Alligator mississippiensis: one gene and its partner. The protein of the gene in region 1 interacts with the protein of each later gene in a pairwise test. Links are inferred from orthologs where the notes say so. Each region holds a gene or a part of one and is shown on either strand. Other genes may lie near its edges.

Region 1 (10,382 bases):
CCCTCACCCAAGACTCCTAATACACACCTTCCTTCGCGTGGACACCCACAGACAATCACCATCAGGCGCACAATCTCCAAGCATCTTCCTGTCCTCAACCACATATACACACTATCTGTCCCCCACCTCCACAAAGCCTCATGATACACACCCCAGCCCCCTCCTCCATCAGTGCACTTGTTCCCATCCCAGGTGCAGCATTAGACACCAGCAGGCACATCTCCCTTACAGCATGCTAGCATTGTTCTGGGAAAGGCAAAAGTTGGCCCAGGGACCCAGAAGTGCCAAGTTTCATGGAAGCTATTCCCAATACTGCCTAGTCCCACACTACAGAGCAGCTACACAGCACCTCTCAGGTCAGGCCCAGGGGCAGAATCAGGTGCCAGGGCATGGTGGGTTGGGAAGGGCAGTGGGGTGATCCCTGCAGTGTGCCTAGAGTGAAAAGCAGGTTTCCTGAAAGATGTAGGCTCTTGCAGGGCCATGGGGGGACTCACATGCTGCTTCTCCTGGCAGCTGCCTGGCCTCCAGGATCTAGTACAAGCCAAAGATGGTCTGCAGAGAGCATCATTCCAGACTGCCAGCCATGAGGGCACAGAGGAGTATGCTGGCTAGAGCCCAAGAAGGTAATGACAAGGAAAGCCAAGGAGAGGGTGGTGGCAGGGAGAAGCATGTGGGGGCAGGAGCCCGAAGTGCTGAGAAGGTCGATTGCTAGTGGATGCATGAGACTATCTGCTTCAAGGGTTTGGCTGTAGAGCCCAGTGTGTCCTGACTGTCAAGGTTCCTGAAGTCAAGGAGGGTGTCATGGTCAGCTGGAAGCAGCAGAACTCACCCAGGGAGAGGGCAGATGTCAGCAGAAGTCTGCACTGACATGGAGCTGGCTGGCTTGGGTTGCACATGCTGACAGGCTGTGGTGGGTACCAGCAGGAAGCACCTTTGTCTGTGTTGATTGCCTAGGCATCTAGGCTGGCTGCGGCTTGCAGGCCATGGGGTAGGGAGGTCAGGAGGCCGAGCATACAGGGGTTGTGCTTGCTGTGTGCATGCTGTGGGTGTGGAGTGTGCAGTGGGCTGTTTTGGGAGGTGTTCTGTGGGGTGGAGCACACAGGGGTTGTGTTTGTTGTATGCATGGTGTGGGCATAGAGTAATCAGGCATAGTGGTTATTGTGTGTGGGCCCAGTGGGGCACAGTGCATTGGCTTGTGTTTGTTGTGCATACGTGCATGTGTCCATGTGTCTGTGTGCACATGCACTGTGGGGTGCAGTGTGTTGGGTGGTCTGTTGTGTGCGTGCACTGTAGGATGCAGCATGTTGCATCTGTGTTTGGCTGGGACATGGGTAGAGCTGCTGCTAACAGCCTTCAGTCAACTACAATAATCCTGAGTCCTTGCTGTAATGGAAACATGAACTAATTACAGCCCCTGGCATACGTTGCATTTAAGATGTGGTTGACCAGTTCATCATGTCTTAAGTTGTCACTCAGCCACACATTAATGCAATTAATGGTGTCATAAAACAAGGAATAAGCCACAAAACTATTATAAAAAAATGTTGAATAACTTTGTGGCTGGTTCCTATCATGTCATCAATTGAATGTGTGGCCTGGCTGAGCCTGGCTGGGTGCCTTGTTGGCTGATGGTGCTGCCAGCAGCATGGGAGCTCTATCAGCTGATCCAGGCTCCCAGCTGGGGGATGCACCCTGCAGTTGGGAGCCTGGATCAGCTGACTGGGCTCCTAGACATGATGCACCCCAGTGGTTGGGTGCCACATCAGCTGACGGCTCTCAGCCCTGGGAGTGCATTGTGTCCCCCAGTGGCTGGGAGTCCCTTCAATTGAGGGGTCTCCCAGACATGGGAGCTTGCTACTTGCCAGTGCAGGGGGAGCCCAGGATCATTCCTGTGCTGACAATAAGGTGCTCTGGGATCTGATGCAGAATCCCACAATCACACCTCCTGTCATGCGCATAGAAGCACAATTGTGGGGATCCTGCATCAGACCCCATTGCACCTTTACTTGCACGTCTTTCGCGGGCCTACGTTTCACAAGGCCTGTGGGTGAGCAAAGAGCCCTCCCTCAGACACAGTAGAGTTAACATCTTGCTCAAATGGGTGGAACGCAGGAGTCCTGACTCCCAAATCCTTGTACCCATGCTAATCTGGCATCCCAGTCTCAAAGCAGGGGACAGACTGGGAACCTGGTGCTAGAGCATACCTCTCCCAGCCTGGACTGGGACATGCCACTTTGGGTGTCTAGCTGTCTGCCCAAACTGTTAGAGTACACTTCCTCCAAAAACCACAGTGTGCTGGTGTATAGCCAGCACAACTGCGCAGCCAGCACAGGGACAAGCCCTTCTCTAATGAGGCTGGCAGCCCTTCCCCCTCCTCCTCCTGTCCTGCCCCCAGAGCTTCAGCAGAGCAGAGCTTTTGTTACATGTGCAGTGTGCAAGCAATTTGGCTCACAGACTGAAGTCTTTTCTCCTGAGCCTTGCTCCAGCATGCTGTTTGTCACAGAGGGCTGCAGTGAGGGAGGCAGGGAGAGCAGGTCCCTCCGCTACATGCATTTACTGCTGCCCTGTGCTGGTTAAACCACTTGGGTACATGTGCTTTCATGCCTGCCCATCAGGGCATACAGCAGCTCTGGGGGATCAGGCAAGAGTCGGCATGGGTACACTGGGCAGCTGGGTACCCAGCTCTCAGGCCAGGGTTTGAAAATGCAGGAGTACAAGCCCACACTTCCCTGCATAGTTGCTTTTTTTCCCAGTACAATATGGGAGACTAGTGTGAGGTCTCCTGAAAATCTGGCCATGGATAACACTTGGTTCCCCTTGCGCTCACAGCTCCCTCCCCCAGCTCCCCTTACAGGCAGTGAACATTAGGCAGAGAAGGGGAGAGCGACCTGACTGAGGTCACCCATCAGGCCAGCAGCAGTGTTGGGAACCCAGGAGTTCTGCCATCTATACCAGCAGATGAGTCCCTGGGTCCTACCACTGTCTATCCATCTATCTTTTCATCCTCCCCTCCCTCCACCCTCACAGAATCATATCAAAGAATCACGGAAAAGCAAGGCTGGCAGGGACCTCCGGAGATCACCCACTCCAACCCCCTGCTTGAGGCAGGAACATCCCTATATCCAAACCATCGCAGCCAGGTATTTGTCTAACATATTCCTAAGACCCCACAAACAACCTGCCACATAACTACAAGGCATGTAGTCCAAGGATGCCAGGAACAACTTAACCTGCCGCAGGTAAAGCAGGGGGGTGAGGGCACTGCCCTACTTCCCATCAGTTTAAAGCATAAGGAAAACTTGTAAAGTGTACTGAATCTCCAGCTACTCAGCCAGGGCAAGTGACTACTTCCTCTCTCCTGGTGTGACTTGTCTGACTCCATAGCTTCAGCTCTGTGCCATTGTTTCACTGCACTGACAACACTAGGGACATCAGCTGCTCCCCTGCTCTGTGACAGTGCCTTACTTTTGCCGGAGGATGCTGACGTCCTCCAGCAGGTTGTCCCTCTCGATCTCCAGCCTGGCCTTGGAGTTAGACAGCTGGTCCACTTGCCGCCGCAGCTCCCGTAGCTCCTCCTGGTAGATGTCGGCCAGCTTGGTGGGCTCCTTGTCTCTGATCTGGTTGAGTTCCACCACCAGGACCTTGTTCTGCTGCTCTAGGAAACGGACCTTCTCAATGTAGCTGGCAAAGCGGTCATTCAACTCCATCATCTCCACCTTCTCATTGGTGCGTGTCTCCTTGAACTCAGCATTGAGGGCGTCAGCCAGGGAAAAGTCCACCTTGTCCTGGCTGAAGCGGGGGCTGGTGTGGAAGCTCAGGCTGGAGGTCTTCATTTTGGTCACGGAGACCCGGGAGGTAGGGCTGGAGGACAGTGGCCTGCGGCCAGGAGAGTACCTCAGGGACTGGTGGATGGTGGCTTGGGAGCCAAATCGCCTCCCATAAGAAGACATCCTCTGGCCCTCCATGCTCACACTCATGCTCCTGCTCCTTTAGGCCAGGCCTAGTCCTGCGGGCAGTGGCAAAGCTCCGACAGGACGCTGGCTGCTCTGCAATGGGTTTTATGCAGAGGACTGGCCCTCCCCAGACAGGGTGTGTGTGAGAGAAGCTAAAGGAGGGGGGAGCCTGAAGGGGGTGGGTATTGTGTGCCTGGTCCTAGAAGCTGCCATGTACCGTGCCAACTGCCCAGTCCTTGGCAGAGGAACAAAGACCGACAAATGAAGCAGAAACCCTCAGTCATTGTGCTGGGCAAAGGAGAGTGAATACCAGCTGACGTGCTACGTGGGGGACGCGTGGGCCACAGCTTCCAGGGCCCCTTGTCCCCCTGGTGGGTGGGCATCAGCATCCCGCAAACTCGTGTCATGGCTGTGTGCTCCTGGGAGGTGGCTGTAGCAAAGGACACCCTGTTCAGTACATGCCCTTTTTCCCAGAGTCCTGGAGACTAGAACGAGCCAACATGTTCTGGAGTCTCAGAGACATGGTGGGGAGGGGCAAGCTTGTCAGAGTAAGTCTCCAGTTTGTTAGAGGGATGGAGCAGGGACTTCCCAGGGGAAGAAGAGTTCTGTTCAACCAAGCAGTGCATGAGGGGGTGCGTGCAAGGGGTGAATAGGTGTGTACACACGCATGTATGTGTGTGAATGTATGTGTGTGTAGGCACACACACAGACACAAGGGGTCTTGCTTTGAGCTTACGTCACTTCTTATTTATGCACAAGGGAAAGAAATCTTCTGCACTGTACCCCTGGAAACATGGTCTCATAATATATTTAAAATACCACAGGCACCATTAACATATGCATTAAAGCATGCTGTTAGTACACTGAAAACGCAGCTGACCATTCTTCCTAACTTAGATGTGCTTTTGTACATACAAATTACAGCACTGGCATGTCTACAATTAGGCCCCGAGTGGGGAGAAGATAAGTTTGTATTGTTTTGCCCATTTTTTAGATCTTTGTATTACTTAAAAATATCATCTGGCATTCCAGACACCTGGGTTCTCTTTCCTGCTCTGCCACTGCTCTGCTGGGTGACCGTGGTCAAGTCACTGCCTACCTCTGTGCCTCATTTTTCCTCCTCCCCTTTATCTGACTTGTATATAGGATCATAAGAAAGTAGGGCTGAAAAGGACTTCATGAGGTCATCTAGTCCAGTCGCCTTCTCAAGCCAGGATCATTGTGACTAAAACAGCCCAACCAAGTAACCTGCTCTTGAAAACTTCCAGGGATGGAGAGTCCACAACTTCTCTAGGTAGCCTTTTCCAATGCTTGATCACCCTCAGAGTCAGAACATTTTTCCTAATCTCAAACCTAAATTTTCTTTGCTGCAGTTTGAGGAATACGTACATGTTGATTGCAACCCACCATGTGGGGGACCATCTCATACGATGCATACTTACAGAGCACGGTGTAGTGGGCCTGCTTGGTGCTCACTGTGATAATGCGTGATAATTTTAATAACAACCAACTATGCTTATCTGACACTAGTCCTGTAGGGCTTCTCTGTGCCCCCCATGAGCACTTCACTTCATACTTTTACACATTATAAACTCAGGCATGAGGCTCTGCTTAAAAACATAATAGTCACAAAACACTCTTCCAGCATACTTTCACACCTGTCCTCGGCCCTCCATTATGAATACTTTGGAAAGACAAACCTTTGGGGTCTAAAAATACACGTGCAGTTCTGCCAGGCATTCTCTTGTGGTTTGGGGGCAGCCAGTGCTCTGGGCTGCACATCCACACTACAGACTGTATTTAGCAAAACACACATGCACACATCAGGCTTCAAACATACATGTTAGAGCCCTTGTTCTCTGCTCCCCACACAAGAGCATTTGATGGCCAGCTGTATTCCTGCACATCCCAGCTTGTTACCGTCAAAATTATCTAGATGACAAGACTTTGATTTCTCTTGGATGGAGACTCCTTTTTTAAGAGGCCAGTTTAGGCAGACAGCTGAGAAGCTAATTAAGAAAGACTTAAATTGAGTATTTGTTTGAAACCCCTGAACTTGGTTTCCACTCCAGTGGTTCTGTAGAAGCAGTGGAAACTTCCAAGTCATTTTCTATTGTTATTGTGGGAGTTTTTACAGCCTGAAGTTTCTAATGTCACTGTGTCCAGCCCTGGGCTGGAATTCAGGACTCCTGGGTTCTGGCAAGATGATGGGATATAGTAATTAGAGCAGGATGCTTGAGAGTAAGACTCCTGACCCTGTGTAGCCTAGCTATTAAAAAGAGTAACTCAGGACTCCTGGGTCCTATTCCCAAGTCTAGAAGAGTGTTACCTAAGGAGCTAGAGCAAAGGTCTGGGAGTGCAGACTTCTGGGTTGGGGGAAATAATACCATATTGTATATTGTAGCAAGATCAGTTTCCTGTGAGGGGCCCAGGACTCCTTGGTATCTATTCCCACATGGTCATACTGATTCTGAGCTTGCCACTCACTTCTCAGATGGGGCTTCTTCCCCCTCATTTCTTGATATCACAGCTTGGAAGGCCTCTGGTCATTAAGAATGAATCCATGATGGGGCACACAGAGCATCTGCTGTTTGCAGGACTGGGTGCTCCCCACATCTCCAGCTCTCCAAGCTCCTAAGGGATATGCTGTTTGAGCCATCCACTGCTTGACATCAGCATGACTGCCTCCCAAGGCAGAGGGCAGAGTCCAGGAGCCAAGACCAGGGTCCTAAGCTGAAGAGTCAAGGCTAGGAGCCAAAGCCCCCCAGGGCAGGAGTCCAAAGCCAAGGAGTCAAAGAGCTGGAATTAGGACTGAGGACCTGAGGAGCCCAGGAGGCAAGGCAGGAACCAGGCCTGAGCCAGGCCTTCCAACCAGGCAAGAAGCCAAGCCAAGCCCAGCTAAGTCCCCTGAAGGCCAAACAGCTTGAACCCATCTGTTCTGGGTTTGTATAGCCCTGAGTGGATAGGGCTCCCTTGGTATAGCCCAAGGGATGACTGGGTCCAGGCTCGTTACAGCCATGGCCAAGGAGCACCCAGAAATGGCACCTCCAGCTCAGGGCTCAACAAAGACATGAAGCAAGGGTGTCTGGCCATAAGTAATCACTGGTAAGGCCCAGGTGATGGGGAGCTCCTTGAAGCCCTGACACTCCAGAGAGGGGTTGAAAGTGGGGGCTTTCCTTCACTGCAGGATTGACTGAGTTACAACCTGAACCCCATCCACACACAAAGTCCCTAACTCAGACCCAGTGGCACTTTAGCATAGGATAGCTGCCCCATAGTGGGAACCAGCTCATGCTTGAGGGAGCATAATGCCTCAGCTGCCAGCACAACCACTGTGCTGTGTGGGTGCAGGCTAGTGCCACTCAGGTGCTGCTAGTCCTCCTGTGCCTTCCCACAGTTCCCTCTTTGACCCAGGAAGGAGCAACAAACTCTCCTCATTCACTGGGAAAGAACTCATGGACCGAAGAGTGCTATGAGCAGCAAGATGTACCCCCACAGCTGTTGGTGCCACATATAAGCGTGTCCAACGCCAGTGCAGATGTGGCAGCTCCAGAGGCATTATGCAGTGGGACTGTCCTCCCTTCAGCCAGTGTAGCTGAAGTACAGGTGGCTTGTCCTGCAGCAGGGGAGAGAGATCCGCTGAAGCCTGACTGACCCAACATGAGACTCATTCCATGGCTCCTACCTGCTTCGTGTAGTCCCAGTGGGAAATCTGGAATTAATTCTCTGGGGGATGGAGAGGGGTCCTTGCTTGGATCAGTTTCATAGTTTCATAGTAGTTAGGGTCAGGAGGGACCTGACCAGATCATCTAGACTGACCCCCTGCCACAGGCAGGAATGAATGCTGGGTTCACAAGACCCCAGACAAGTGATCATCCAACCTCCTCTTGAATATGCCCAAGGTAGGGGCAAGGACCATTTCCCTGGGAAGATGGTTCCAGATTTTGGCCACCCTAACTGTAAAATATTGCCTTCTGATCTCTAACATAAACCTATTCTCCCTCAGCTTATTACCATTGTTCCTTGTCACCCCCGGTGGTGCTGGGGAGAAAAGGGCTCTACCTATTTGCTGATGATCTCCCCTGATGAGTTTGTAGGCAGCCACCAGGTCCCCCCTCAGCTTCCTCTTGCTGAGGCTGAACAGGTTCAGGTCCTTCAGTCTCTCCTCGCAGGGCCTGTCCTGCTGCCCTCTCACCAAGTGGGTAGCCCTCCTCTGAACCCTCACCAGGCTGGCCACATCCCTTTTGAAGTACGGTGCCCAGTACTGGACGCAGTACTCCAACTGCGGCCTGACCAAAGTCACATAGAAGGGGAGCATCACCTCTCTGGACTGGCTTGAGATGCACCTTTGGATGCATGACAAGGTATGGCTGGCCTTGCTGGCTGCAGTCTGGCATTGGCAGCTCATGTTCATCTTGGAGTCGGTAATGACTCCAAGATCCCTTTCTGCCTCTGTGCTTTCAAGAAGGGAACTCCCCAGCCTGTATGTATGCTGTGGATTCCTTCTCCCAAGGTGCAGCACCCTGCATTTGTCTACGTTGAACCCCATCCTATTCTCATCTGACCACTTATCAGCCTCCAGCCTGGGGTGTATTGGGGTGGAGAGAGCATCTCCAGGATCAGGTGAGGCTGTTCCAGATGGGCCCAGCATCCTTGTTGTTATTAATCATGTTTACAGGGGCAGTGGCAGGAGGCCCCAGCTAACACCAGAGCCTCATAGTGCTGGATACTGTCCTGATGAAGAAGTAGGTATGGTCCCCACCCTGGGGGAAAAGAGGGAGAGGGGGTATTCACAGTGAAGGGGTGATGAAGAGTGTGGCCTATGGACTAGTGCAGAGGGCAGGGCTCACAGGCTGCTGCAGTCTGGATGAGGCTGGTCCCGGCAGTGCTCCCACTGCCCATCCCCAAGGCAGCACTGCATTCCCAGGCTCCCGGCAACCTTGGGGCCTTGCTATGGAGAGGATCACACAGGCTCAGCTATGCCCTGCCACAGTACAGCCCTGCTGATCTGTCCCATGTTCCTGGAGCCAGAAGCCGACAGCTCCACAAAGGCCTTATGAATGGGGTCAAGGCCACGGCATGAACCCCCCCATGGGGCTGGCACAGAAGATACCCTGTGCTATGATTTCTGTCCCAAGGTGCTGTCCAGGCAATGATCATTGCAGGAGGATTGATTCCTGCTGGCTACCCCTGTTGGGGGCCCGGTCCCACCACAGGAACTCACCGTCCCCAGCAGCTGGGGGACTGAGGTTCTGCCTGTGGGAAGAAAATTACCGAGGATGCCCCTTGTTAAATCTGCTGTACTGGGAGACAGGCTGAGGGGCTGTGAGAACCACAGCAAATGGCTCAGCTCCAGGGCACATGGGTCTCCCCCTGCTTCTCCTGCCCCCTCCCAGCCCAAACCTTGGGCCACAAGTGGAGGCCACAATCCAGAAAAAAAGGGGTCAGGAACTCAGTCTGTGCCCTGCCAGGAGGAGATATGTCTGCCACCACCAAGTAAAGACCCAGTTCCCCTTATCCCCACACCTGGTGTGCTATCTCTGCCCTCCCCACCTCCCCCTGCCTCCACCAGGAGAAGGAAGTGCACTGTTCTAGCTGTACTTCATCCGTGGAGCTGCAGTGCCTGAAGGCCTTATAGCTCAGCACTGACTTTGGTGCAACAGCTGTAGCAGCAGACGCCACTCCCTAGTCTGCCCATGATGAGCTGAGCAGAGCCCAGCAGGAGGGCTTCTCCCACCCAGGAATGCCATGCCATTGGGGTAGGATAGTGAAAGATGTGCTCTGCTCCCAGCAGCTGCTAATCCTTCTGTGTACTGAGCCTCATGAGGTGCCAAGGTCCCACTGCCTTCCTTGGGTGACAGCCCCTGACCCCCCAGGTTGAATAGCTGGGAGCCTGCCCATGTAGTATTACAAGCAGAGCCGGGGACTGCGCCTCCATTATGGCTTACTCTCCCTTTCCACTAGCTGGACCACAGATGAGTTTATGATGCTGCTGGGGCCAGGCTGTGTGGTCTGGCTTCATGATTTGAAGATTAGAGACTCAGGATTTAACACCCAGGGGCCCCTAGGCTCCTGCTTGAATTGGCTGCATGTTCTGTAACTACTATACTAAAATCTGCTCCCACAGCTAGGGGTAGAAGTGAGCAGGTCTCCTGGGCTAGGGACAGAAGTTACACATAAACTGGTTTAAGTGATCAGAAACTGGTTTAAACCTGTAACAGAACAGAAGCTCAGTGCACATAAACCAGTTTCAAACTGGCTGAAACTGGTTTAAGATAAACCTGGTTGAATGTAATAGACTTAACTGATTTGTGTCAAACTGGTTTATGAAACTTCTGTCCGAGACCCCTTCCTGGTTCAAGTTAAATCACAGTCCCCCAGCATCCCAGAATGCTTTCCAGCTCTGGACTGGGATGGGCTGGGCTGTCT
Region 2 (9,531 bases), on another chromosome or scaffold:
CCCATTGCAGTTCTCTGGGACAGAACGTGTGTTACTTGTCTGCACGTGCCCCGTGACAACCATTTTTTGACTAACCCTCGCCTACTGCCAGCAAGCCCAAGTTTTACCAGAGTTTTAGTTCCCCCTCAGTTGAAGCCATTGTCCAGTCTATTTTGTCTGGATCTTCCAGGTGTATTTGATGAACATATTTTATAGCTTAATTTTATTCAAATAAATTGTTTGGTATTTTGATATTTAGATCCCTTCAGGGGATCAACAGTATAGGTGTTTTGAAAGTTATAGCTGTGGAAAGATCTTAAAAATCATAATAAAATTATAAAAACATGTCTGTCCAGGGAAAACATTGGTAAACAATCTGGTCCACTAAGTATTCAAGACAGCAGCCTGGGATCACCTTTGTCCAGACTGAAAGAGTTAAAAAAGGTACTGTTTTGGGTTTTTTTAACCTTTGTTCTGAGCTTGGAGCTAATATGCTCTTCTACAATCTAATTCTCTCAAAACTAGCCACTTTGGCTGTGTCCCCACGAGCAGGGGCATGCGGTTGTGCTGTTGTGTTTTTGCCCTGGCAAAACCCCTGTACGTGGGGTTAGTGCAGGGAAAAATGCTCCGGGTGGGGCAGAGGAGGCTGAGGCCGGCACCTGTGCTGGCCCCAGCAGCCTTACCTGGGTCCTCCCGGGGCAGCAGCGGCTGTGATCAGGCAGCAGGGAGCCTGGCCAGCAGCCAGATCATGGCTCTGTGGTTGGCCAGGGTCCTGGTCTGGTGGCACAAGCTCCTGCCACATGCACTGCACCATACTTTCTTTGGGGTAGTTTTTCTTGACACTGGGATTTCCCAGTGACAAAGAAAACCCACCACACTACAATTTCACAGCGCGGCAAATATGGGCACGTGTGCAGTTTGCGGCGCCACAAACCACACATACGTGCTCACCTGGAGAAACCCTTTCTGCCCGAGAAGCCTCTGCATTTCAGTTAATTAAATTAACATTTGCAACTCGGTGAGCTATCACCGAGCATGACAGGTCTTGATGTTAAGAACTTAGCAAAATACTGGACATGCCTTGGGTCCTGGATGCAACTCAGGGAAGAAGACCCCCATGACATGCCAAACAGCAATGAATTTGTACATCTAAATAGTTGGTGCTTGTTTAAATAGATAAGTAAGAGAAAATCTGAGCTACAGGAAGGAAAACAACCCAAACTGAATGAGAAGAGAAACCGTATCTTGGATAGCTGGTTAGATCTAAATATTCTTTTTCTGGTTGACTTAGGTTTCCATGTAAAATCAGGCACCTCCCAAGAAAAGCAGTACAGGATCTGAAAAGAAGAAAAGAAGTGAGGTGGGGTCCCACTAACCTGTTAATAAAACCAGCTTCTTCCCTAGTATCCACAAGAAGTAGGTTTGCTTGTCCAAGTTACACTTCCACCTCCGGATTTTCCACAGTGCCTGTGTCTTTAGATGTGAAACCCTTCAGAGCAGGGAGCCAATTTTTTGTGCGCTGTGCTGTGCTGAATACATAGTGATTACTAAATTCATTTGATACAGCAACTACAGCTTCAGCTAACAAATTACATCAACCAGTAAAGGGTAAGGACAGTATTTCAGTTCTGAAATGAGATCTTTTCTGAATGCAGCGCTTCCTCTTTCCTCTCTCCCCTTGCTAGAAATCCAAGCAAAGACAGCAATGAGTAAGTCTTCCAACAGCAGCTATATTCAGAAAGAATAAAATTCACCCCTGAACTGAAAACCAGCACAGAGGCTCATCACCCTTCAGTATTATGAAAAGATGACAAAATAGAAAGAAAGCGGTGCTTTGGCATTGACCCTTGCACGGGGATGAATTTTAACCATCATAGGCTTGGCTGAATGCTAATGCCCCAGGAGAAGAAGGAATCAATGTTGCTCTTTCTTAGGAAGAATTCAAGACAAATTCCCCCAAACCCCAGGAATTCAGGATACGTTTGCAGGACCATTACCTCAAGTCCATTGCCCAGCCAGGAATCACTCTGACAAGTTACCCCATTTCTCAGGTTTCCTACTAACCAGAATCGCGGTCTCTCTCATGCAGCTCTTACCATGCTCCCTGATGTTGACGCTGTGAGCGATTATAAACAGCAACAGGCTGACTCCAGTGGCACGTGGGATCCTGCCCTAGAGAGGTGAACTATACTAGTGACTCCGCACAGGGGCAGGTAACCGAGGTCCTCTCTGACGGCAGCCCACAGAAATGAACTATGTTGTTATCTCTGTACACAGCAGGTGACTCACAGGCCATGGCTGAGTAGTGACTGCGGCAGCTCATTTTGGTCAGAATTGTTCTCTGTACCCGAGCCCCTGTGATTCCTTAGAAAATGGACACCAAGACCCCAAAACTGATGGGCACCTATTAGGAAAACAAGGCACTTTGTCTCCAGCCCCCTGGAGCTGCACCTGCTTTCCCCTGTCCCAGTCCAGCCACCGAAGACAATGGCAAGCCGGCCGTAGGGGAGCCAACTTTCTGCCCAGGTGTGGGAGACCTATCTCAGAGCTGCAGCTGTCCCAAGGCCTGATGCTCCCAGGGCCAGAAAGCACAGGTGACAGCAGCATGATTGATCCAGTGGTGGCACATGCAGCAGCAACCCAGGAGCATGGATCAAAGACCAAGCTGCTCCTGGTGCCACCTCCTTCCGCCCTGGCAGGGGTGGGGTGGGGCAGGGCAGGGCAGGGAAAAAGAGGCCGTGCACGGAGTCAACGGAACCAGGTCGGACCTGACCAGAGCGGAGCCAGCACCAGCACCAGCACGAGCACCAGGGACAGCCCGGCCTGGCTGCTGCTCACTGCTGGGTGGTGCTACTGCTGCGGGGCTGTGGGCTGGGGCCCAGGGTGTGCAGAAGCCTCCTGCCTCCAGGGAGGAGCTGGCGAGTGCAGGCCAGGACACAGCCAAGGGAGCAGGGATAGGCAGGTCAGGGCTCACCAGTTGCCCGTTCCCACCCACTGGTCCCACTTGCACCTATGGCAAGTCTCTGCCAGCCATAGACGGCGCCATGGCCCAGGCCCCACAAGTGACCACGTCCCCAGGGCAGGGTGGGGGTAGAAGCAGGCACCACAGCTACCCCTCTGGGAGGGGTGAGGATGAGGGCACCAGAGGCCAAAATGCTGGGCCATGCCCAGGCAGGTTCAGGATGAAGCAGCACAGCTGCCACTGGGCAGTCAGGGACACTTTCTCCCTCTTACCCACAGTGTGGGTTGCAATACCACACACCCTCTGGAAGTGCCTGCACATTGCGAAGCTCTGCCCGGTGCCTGCAACATCTTGCCCATGGGCGGCACCCCTCATTCATGGGCACACTGGAGGGGAGGGGAGGGGAGGGACAGGATCCAGCTAGATCTAGACAGGTTACAGATGTGGGCGGATGAGAATAGGATGGAGTTCAACGCAGACAAGTGCACGGTGCTGCATCTAGGGAGAAGGAGCCTGCAACACACCTACGGGCTGGGAACTCCCCTCTCAACAACACAGTGGCTGAAAGGGATCTTGGAGTCATTGTTGGCTCCAGGATGAACGTGAGCCGCGAATGTGAGGCAGTGGTCAGGAAGGCCGACCACACCTTGTCGTGCATCCACAGATGCATCATCTCGAGCAGGGCCAAGGAGATGATCCTCCCCTCGATGCGACACTGGTCAGGCTGCAGGTGGAGTACTGTGTCCAGGTCTGGGCGCCGCACTTCAGGAGGGATGTGGACAGCACGGAGAGGGTCCAGAGGAGGGCTGCCCGCATGGTCAGGGGCAGCAGGGCAGGCCCTACGCGGAGAGACTAAAGGGCCTGAAGCTACTCCACAAGAGAAGGCTGAGGGATCTGGTGGCCGTTTACAAACTCACCGGGGGGACGAGCAGAAAACAGGTAGGGCTCCGTATCCCCAAGCACTACCTGTGATAACAAGGAATAGTGGCCACAAATGGACGGAGAGCAGGTTCAGGTTAGATATCAGGAGCGTTACTTTACGGTCGGGGCTGCCGGGCTCTGCAATGGGCTCCCGAGGGAGGTGGTGCCCGCCCCTGTCTCGGGGGTCTTCAAGAGGAGGTTGGCTAGAGCTCTGGCTGGGGCGATACGATCCCAGCGCTCGTTCCTGCCCAGGGCAGGGGTCGGACCTGATGATCTGTTCAAGTCCCTTCCGACCCTAGTAACTATGAGACTCACACGTGCGGCTGAGCAGCGATATCGGCTGGACAACCCCTTCTCCCCAGCTGTCTGCCCTCAGACTGCAGGGCAAGGCCGAAGCGGTCAGTGCTGCCAGGTGGCGGCTGCTGGAACGAGCCCTGCGTCCCGTCGCTGAGCGCCTGCCGTCGGAGCTGCGGGAAGGCTGGACCGCTTCCCACGTTTGCTGCGACACCCTGAAACCGGGGGGTGGCAAGACTACAGCGCCGTGGGCGCCGCTTTGCTGTGGGAGTCGCGTGTGCGCACAGGGAGGAGACCGAGCGGGAAGCAAAGGAAAGGGAAGGCGCAGGTCTGCACCGTGACGCTGGGGACACGAGGCGGGGACAGACCGCAGACGCTCACCCAACACCTCCTGCCTCCGACCCCGCGCCGCACACGGGGAGCTACCCCGACGCCCCGGCCCTCAGCCGGGCCCCGCCACCCAGCTAGCGCCACGCGCCTCTGCCTCTGGGGGCGGGCTGTGTGCACCCTCAGCCCCGGGCGGGCGGGCGGGCCTGGAAAGCAGGCTGTGCCGTTACATTGCTCCCGACCGCCCGGGGCCGGCGGCTCCCGCACAGCAGACTGCCGGCCCGCGGGCCAGCCAGGCGCGAAGCCCAGCTCGAAGGACGAGGACTAGGACGAGGGCGTGGGCCGCGGCGGGGCGGGGGCTCGGGGGACGGCGGCCAGGAAGGGCCGGAGGGCGAGCGCTCGGGCAGGAGCCGGCCCAGCTCCACGAGCGCCCGGGCCGCCTCCCTGCGCTGCCAGCGGCGCGGCTCCGCGCGGAGCGAGCGCACGCGGGGCCCGGGCCTCCCGGCTTCGCACCAGGCGCAGCGCGCCCAGCTCTCCTCGCCGCCTCGCGCCCGGGAGTCCCGAGGGAGCTGGCCGAGGAGACTCCTGGGCGAGCCGCGCCCACGGCTGCCCGCGCCTCGCGCGCCCGCCCACGCCCCGCGCGCCACGCCTCCCGGCATGCTCTGCGGCTCCCGGCGGCCTGCGGGACTCCACTTCCCAGCATGCTCCGCGGCTCCCAGCGGCCTCTGCGGTCTGCGGGACTCCAGTTCCCGGCATGCTCCGCGGCGGCGGGCGGCCTGTTTGGCGGCGGGCGGTGTTTCCCGGCATGCCGCGCGGCCCCGGGCAGGATGATCCACGAGCTGCTGCTGGCGCTGAGCGGGTTCCCGGGCGCCGCCTTCACGTGGAGCAAGCGGGGCGGCCTGCAGGTACCACCGCCCCGCCCCCCCCCCGCCCCGTCCGCCCGCGCCGCGCTCCCGCCCCGCCCCGCCCCTGACCGCCCGCCCGCCCGCCCGCAGGTGAGCCAGGAGCTGCCCTTCCTGCACCCGAGCGAGACCGGCGTGCTGAGCCGCCTCTGCCGCCTGGGCACCGACTACCTCCGCTTCACCGACTTCGTGGCGCAGTACACGGGCCACGTGCAGCAGCAGCAGCAGCAGCAGCAGCAGCAGCAGGTGGGGCCGCGCGGCCAGGCGGGTTTACCGCCACAGCGCCCGCCCGCCCGCCCTGGGCGCGGGGCACGAGGCGGATCGGCGGGGCCGGGCCCTGGCACCAGACCCCTGCCCCCTCAGTGCCGCGGGGCCGTGCCGCAGCGCCCCGCCGGCTGTGCGTGCCCTGCCCTGCCCTGCCCTGCCGGCGCCGGGCGGGGAGCAGGGACCCCCGGGCAGCTTGCACTTGGCTCGGGCCGCGCCCCGCGGGGAGGCAGGCGGCGTCGGCAGCTCCGGCGCAGAGCCCTGGGCCGGGCCGGGCCGGGCCAGGCCGGGCGCGCTGGTGCAGGCGCCGGTGCGGCAGACCCGGGCCCCGCGGCAGTGGAGCGTGCCGGGCTGTCTTGGGGTCCGCGTCCCCTCGCTGGGGTCCTGGCTGCGCTCTGCCCGCGTGCCCGGCGCGTCGCCCTCTGACATCCCAGGTCGTCCGCTCAAACTCCTCCGTGGGCCGGCCGAGAGCCGCGGGCTGGCCGGGCCCAGGCGCCGGCAGGGCCGCCGTTCGGCCCCTTGTCTTGGCACATCCCCGGGCAGTCTCGCTGCACGGCGTCTGCAGCCCCAGGCGCTCCCGGGCAGCAGCGGACACCGGTCTGTTCTTCTCCGCCTGGTGCTTTCCTCTGGGGCCTGGTTATTAACCCGCAGATTTACTTCTCTTTCTGTTCTGTCTTTTTCTTCTGTCAAGAAATGGGCTGCGCAGCTCGTGGTGTCTCTGGCCGCCGAGGGGGGACGTGGTTCCCAGCAAGGCAGAGCTCAGTTACAGCGTAGCAAATACAGCAGTCTCCGGTGGGGGCAGGTAGTAAGTGCTTTAGAGGGAGAGCCCATGGCCGGGGCACGATCCTCTCCGTGTCACCTTCCCTCGTTGGTTTAGAGGTCAGAGGAGGCAGCCCTGACTTCTGTCTAATAGCTCCCAACGGACCTGTCCTTCCTCTCCAAGCTGCTCATACCTTCCCCTGCCACAAGTCAGCTACGCACTGGACATAAACAAAAGCTTGTCGTCTGACGAGATGCCTGTGGCGGAGCGCTCTCGCTGAGCGACGGCCTCGGGCCCCTCGTTAGGACATTTCAGCGTTGCTGACCCCGTCGGTCACATCGCGTACTGACGGGTGGGCGGTCACTTCCATTTGGTTCTCCGTAGCGATGTCTGCCTTAGCGCAGTACTGTCTTACCCACGGCAATCAGGCTAATTTGGAGAGGGAAGGAGAGCAGCAGGGAGAGAATTACCACGAGCGCGAAGAGCAAAGGCTTGTGAAGCCCCTGCAGCCCCTACCAGGCAAACCTAATTCACCTGGGGAAGAACAACAACTTGCAGTCGCTCAGACTGGACAGGCTTTGCAAGACTCGAGGGTGCTCCCCATCCCGCTAGGCTGGTGGGGCTGTGGCAAGTGCTTTACATACATGTGCCTCTTTCAGTGGCTGCCCCAAATAACAGCAACATGTTAGTGGCCACCTTTATTAGATGGTCTTCTGCCTCCGGACTGCCTTGCAGTGGGCACCTGCCTCTTCTGTGGTGAGTAGTGTCTCTGAGGGGACTGAATCTAGGTCTGCTCCATCCTTGCCAGCGCAAGCACCATCTCGTAACCTGTCCGTTCTGTTGGCACTTGCTGCGGTTGTTCGAGATGGGTATGTTTGTAACTTGGATCACTGGGCTGGTGTTAAAGCACCATCCAGACCTGCCTGGGGCCAATCCAGACTTTCCTGTTTGATTGCAGGACCATCACCCATCCCAGCAGAACCCAAGCGGGCTCCATGGGATTTACTTGCGGGCCTTCTGCACGGGGCTTGACTCTGTGCTGCAGCCCTATCGTCAGGCACTGCTTGACCTGGAACAAGAGGTAAGAGGGAGGTGGCCGTGCGTGTGGCTGGGCGCTGGAAGTGCTGCAGCCTGAACTCTGGCGCAGTGGGAACCTGCCTCTTGTATGGCGAGTAGCCTGACAAGCAGCTGCCAGGGACAGGACAGGAACTTTCACTTTTCACTTTGGGGATGTCTTCCAAATGGCTACTGCAAGTGCAGTCACTACTGGTCAGCGTATTCTGTGTCACTGACTTCCTCATCCATGGGAGGGCTCCCTCAGTGCCCGGGCAAGGCTCTGTCGCTCCAGCTGTAGTGATCCATGCTTTTAGCTCTGAAGATTTTTGACTAATCCCCTTGTCATGGCCAGGATAGCAGTGGTCATGTAACCTCTCAGGTGGGGTCACTGAGTCAGTGGTCTCACTGTGAGTTGCAGCCTGAAGTGGGACATGGCCCAAAAGTCTGTGGAGTGAGCTGTGATCAGGCCATTCGCTCTCGCTTACCTTCTCATAGGCTGTGGATTATTTCAGTTTGTGCTAACTGCTGTTGTTGTTGCAGTTCCTGGCTGATCCTCATCTCTCCATCTCGCACGTTAACTATTCCCTGGATCAGGTATGTTGCGTAGGACCTAGAGGCTTCAGGTTTATGCACCTTAATACTCATAGGTACAACATGGGTAATGCTGCAGAGCTTGGCATTGCTGCTAGACCCCCATCTTTCCAACCACCTGACTTTTGTACTTATCTCCTGAGTTTTAAAGTTGCATCAATGTCACCATTACCCTTTAGACCTAAGCTTGCAAGAAGAAATAGAGTTTCCTTCCTGCAAGGTTGCAGTAGCTGGTAGCACATATGTCACCAAGGTGGAGGAAGCTACGTGGTGTCTGTTTTTAGGCATCTTGATTTCCGAAATCACTAAATCCAGTGTGTCATCATTCACGAGCTTTCCTCCATGGAGTCCTGCTAGGAGTCTTATGCTGTATTTCATGGCTGAAGAACTTCTGAGCTGGGGATGGATGCCTGGATAGCCCCCTTAAGGAGTATAGGAGTGTGCCGGGGCGCAAAGAGCTCTTGCTTCAACCATCCATCTGCCCCTCTGTTTCCTGAAAACTCATTTAGAGTCCAGCTCTGAAACTGGAGTGGTGGGGGGAACTGCTTGATTTTTTTCATATCCTGGAGCCAAAGTCTCAAACTTGTCAATTTGAGAAACTGCAGAATCCCACTGACACACTTCCAGCCTATCAGTACAATGTTGTGTTCCCCACAGCTTGCTTACTGTGCAGAGTGTCTCCTTCTTCATGATGCAGCTTGAGCCCAATGCTGGGGTAGTGTTGCATTTCCCATATCTTAGGCTGGTTGTCTGTCCATGCAGAGACTGAGGTCTCCTGTTCTAGGGGCACCTAGATCAGGGCGATAGTGCTACCCAGTTGTGGGGCAACTGAAGTGACCAGCTGGAAAATCACTACATTTTGCTGCTTTGCCCCAAGTGCCCTTGCTGTCTCTTGCTTAGGAGCCTGCTCTTATGTGTTGATCCTTGCTTTGCAGTTCCAGCTGCTTTTCCCCTCGGTGATGGTGGTGGTTGAGCAGATCAAGACTCAGAAGGTACAGTGAGGGGTGACTGGGGCATCCACGCTGGGATGTGGCGTTCCCCCTCTTTCCCTTTAGTTGGAGTTGCTTGTGGGTGGAGGTGCCACCAGATGATAGACAGGGCTTGTAGACGGTTGGTGGGTGCACCCATCAGGAAGTAACTGGTTTCTCAGGGTCTGTCTTTCTCTCGGAGGCTACATGAAGCAGGCAGCAGAGAGATTCTGATCATAAGCAAGAGTGAGGTAGTGGGGTGATTTGCATCTTTAAAGTTGAGGGGAAGAGACAGATTTTTGGCAGACAGGCTTGGAGCTGGGGCAGGAGGGGAATGTGCAGCAATTCTTTCCCTTGACCTGGTCACACTGCTGTTTTCAGTATACAGGGACGAAACGTGTTGCCACGTTTGCACGTTAGTGGCTGGCTTTGCTCCTCCTTGTGCCTGATCCCAAAGGATTCGCATCCCAGGAAATTGGGGGCATTTGCTAGATTCTGTGAAGCACT

Evidence for each region. The genes of interacting proteins can lie anywhere in the genome.
Region 2: the proteins of GFAP (region 1) and TUBGCP4 interact in a two-hybrid assay, tested with the Homo sapiens proteins (2 studies listed by BioGRID and IntAct). The two-hybrid records come from large-scale screens. The link is inferred for Alligator mississippiensis from reciprocal best matches to the Homo sapiens genes GFAP and TUBGCP4.

What each region holds. Positions count from the first base shown.
Region 1 is NC_081827.1:161,783,328-161,793,709, reverse strand, and holds the start of GFAP (glial fibrillary acidic protein), read right to left. Parts: upstream 4,047-10,382; 5' UTR 3,978-4,046; coding exon 3,466-3,977; intron 1-3,465.
Region 2 is NC_081834.1:439,886-449,416, forward strand, and holds the start of TUBGCP4 (gamma-tubulin complex component 4), read left to right. Parts: upstream 1-5,256; 5' UTR 5,257-5,310; coding exon 5,311-5,388; intron 5,389-5,478; coding exon 5,479-5,631; intron 5,632-7,363; coding exon of another isoform or gene 7,364-7,367; coding exon 7,368-7,490; intron 7,491-8,005; coding exon 8,006-8,059; intron 8,060-8,991; coding exon 8,992-9,048; intron 9,049-9,531. UniProt on the Homo sapiens protein: Component of the gamma-tubulin ring complex (gTuRC) which mediates microtubule nucleation.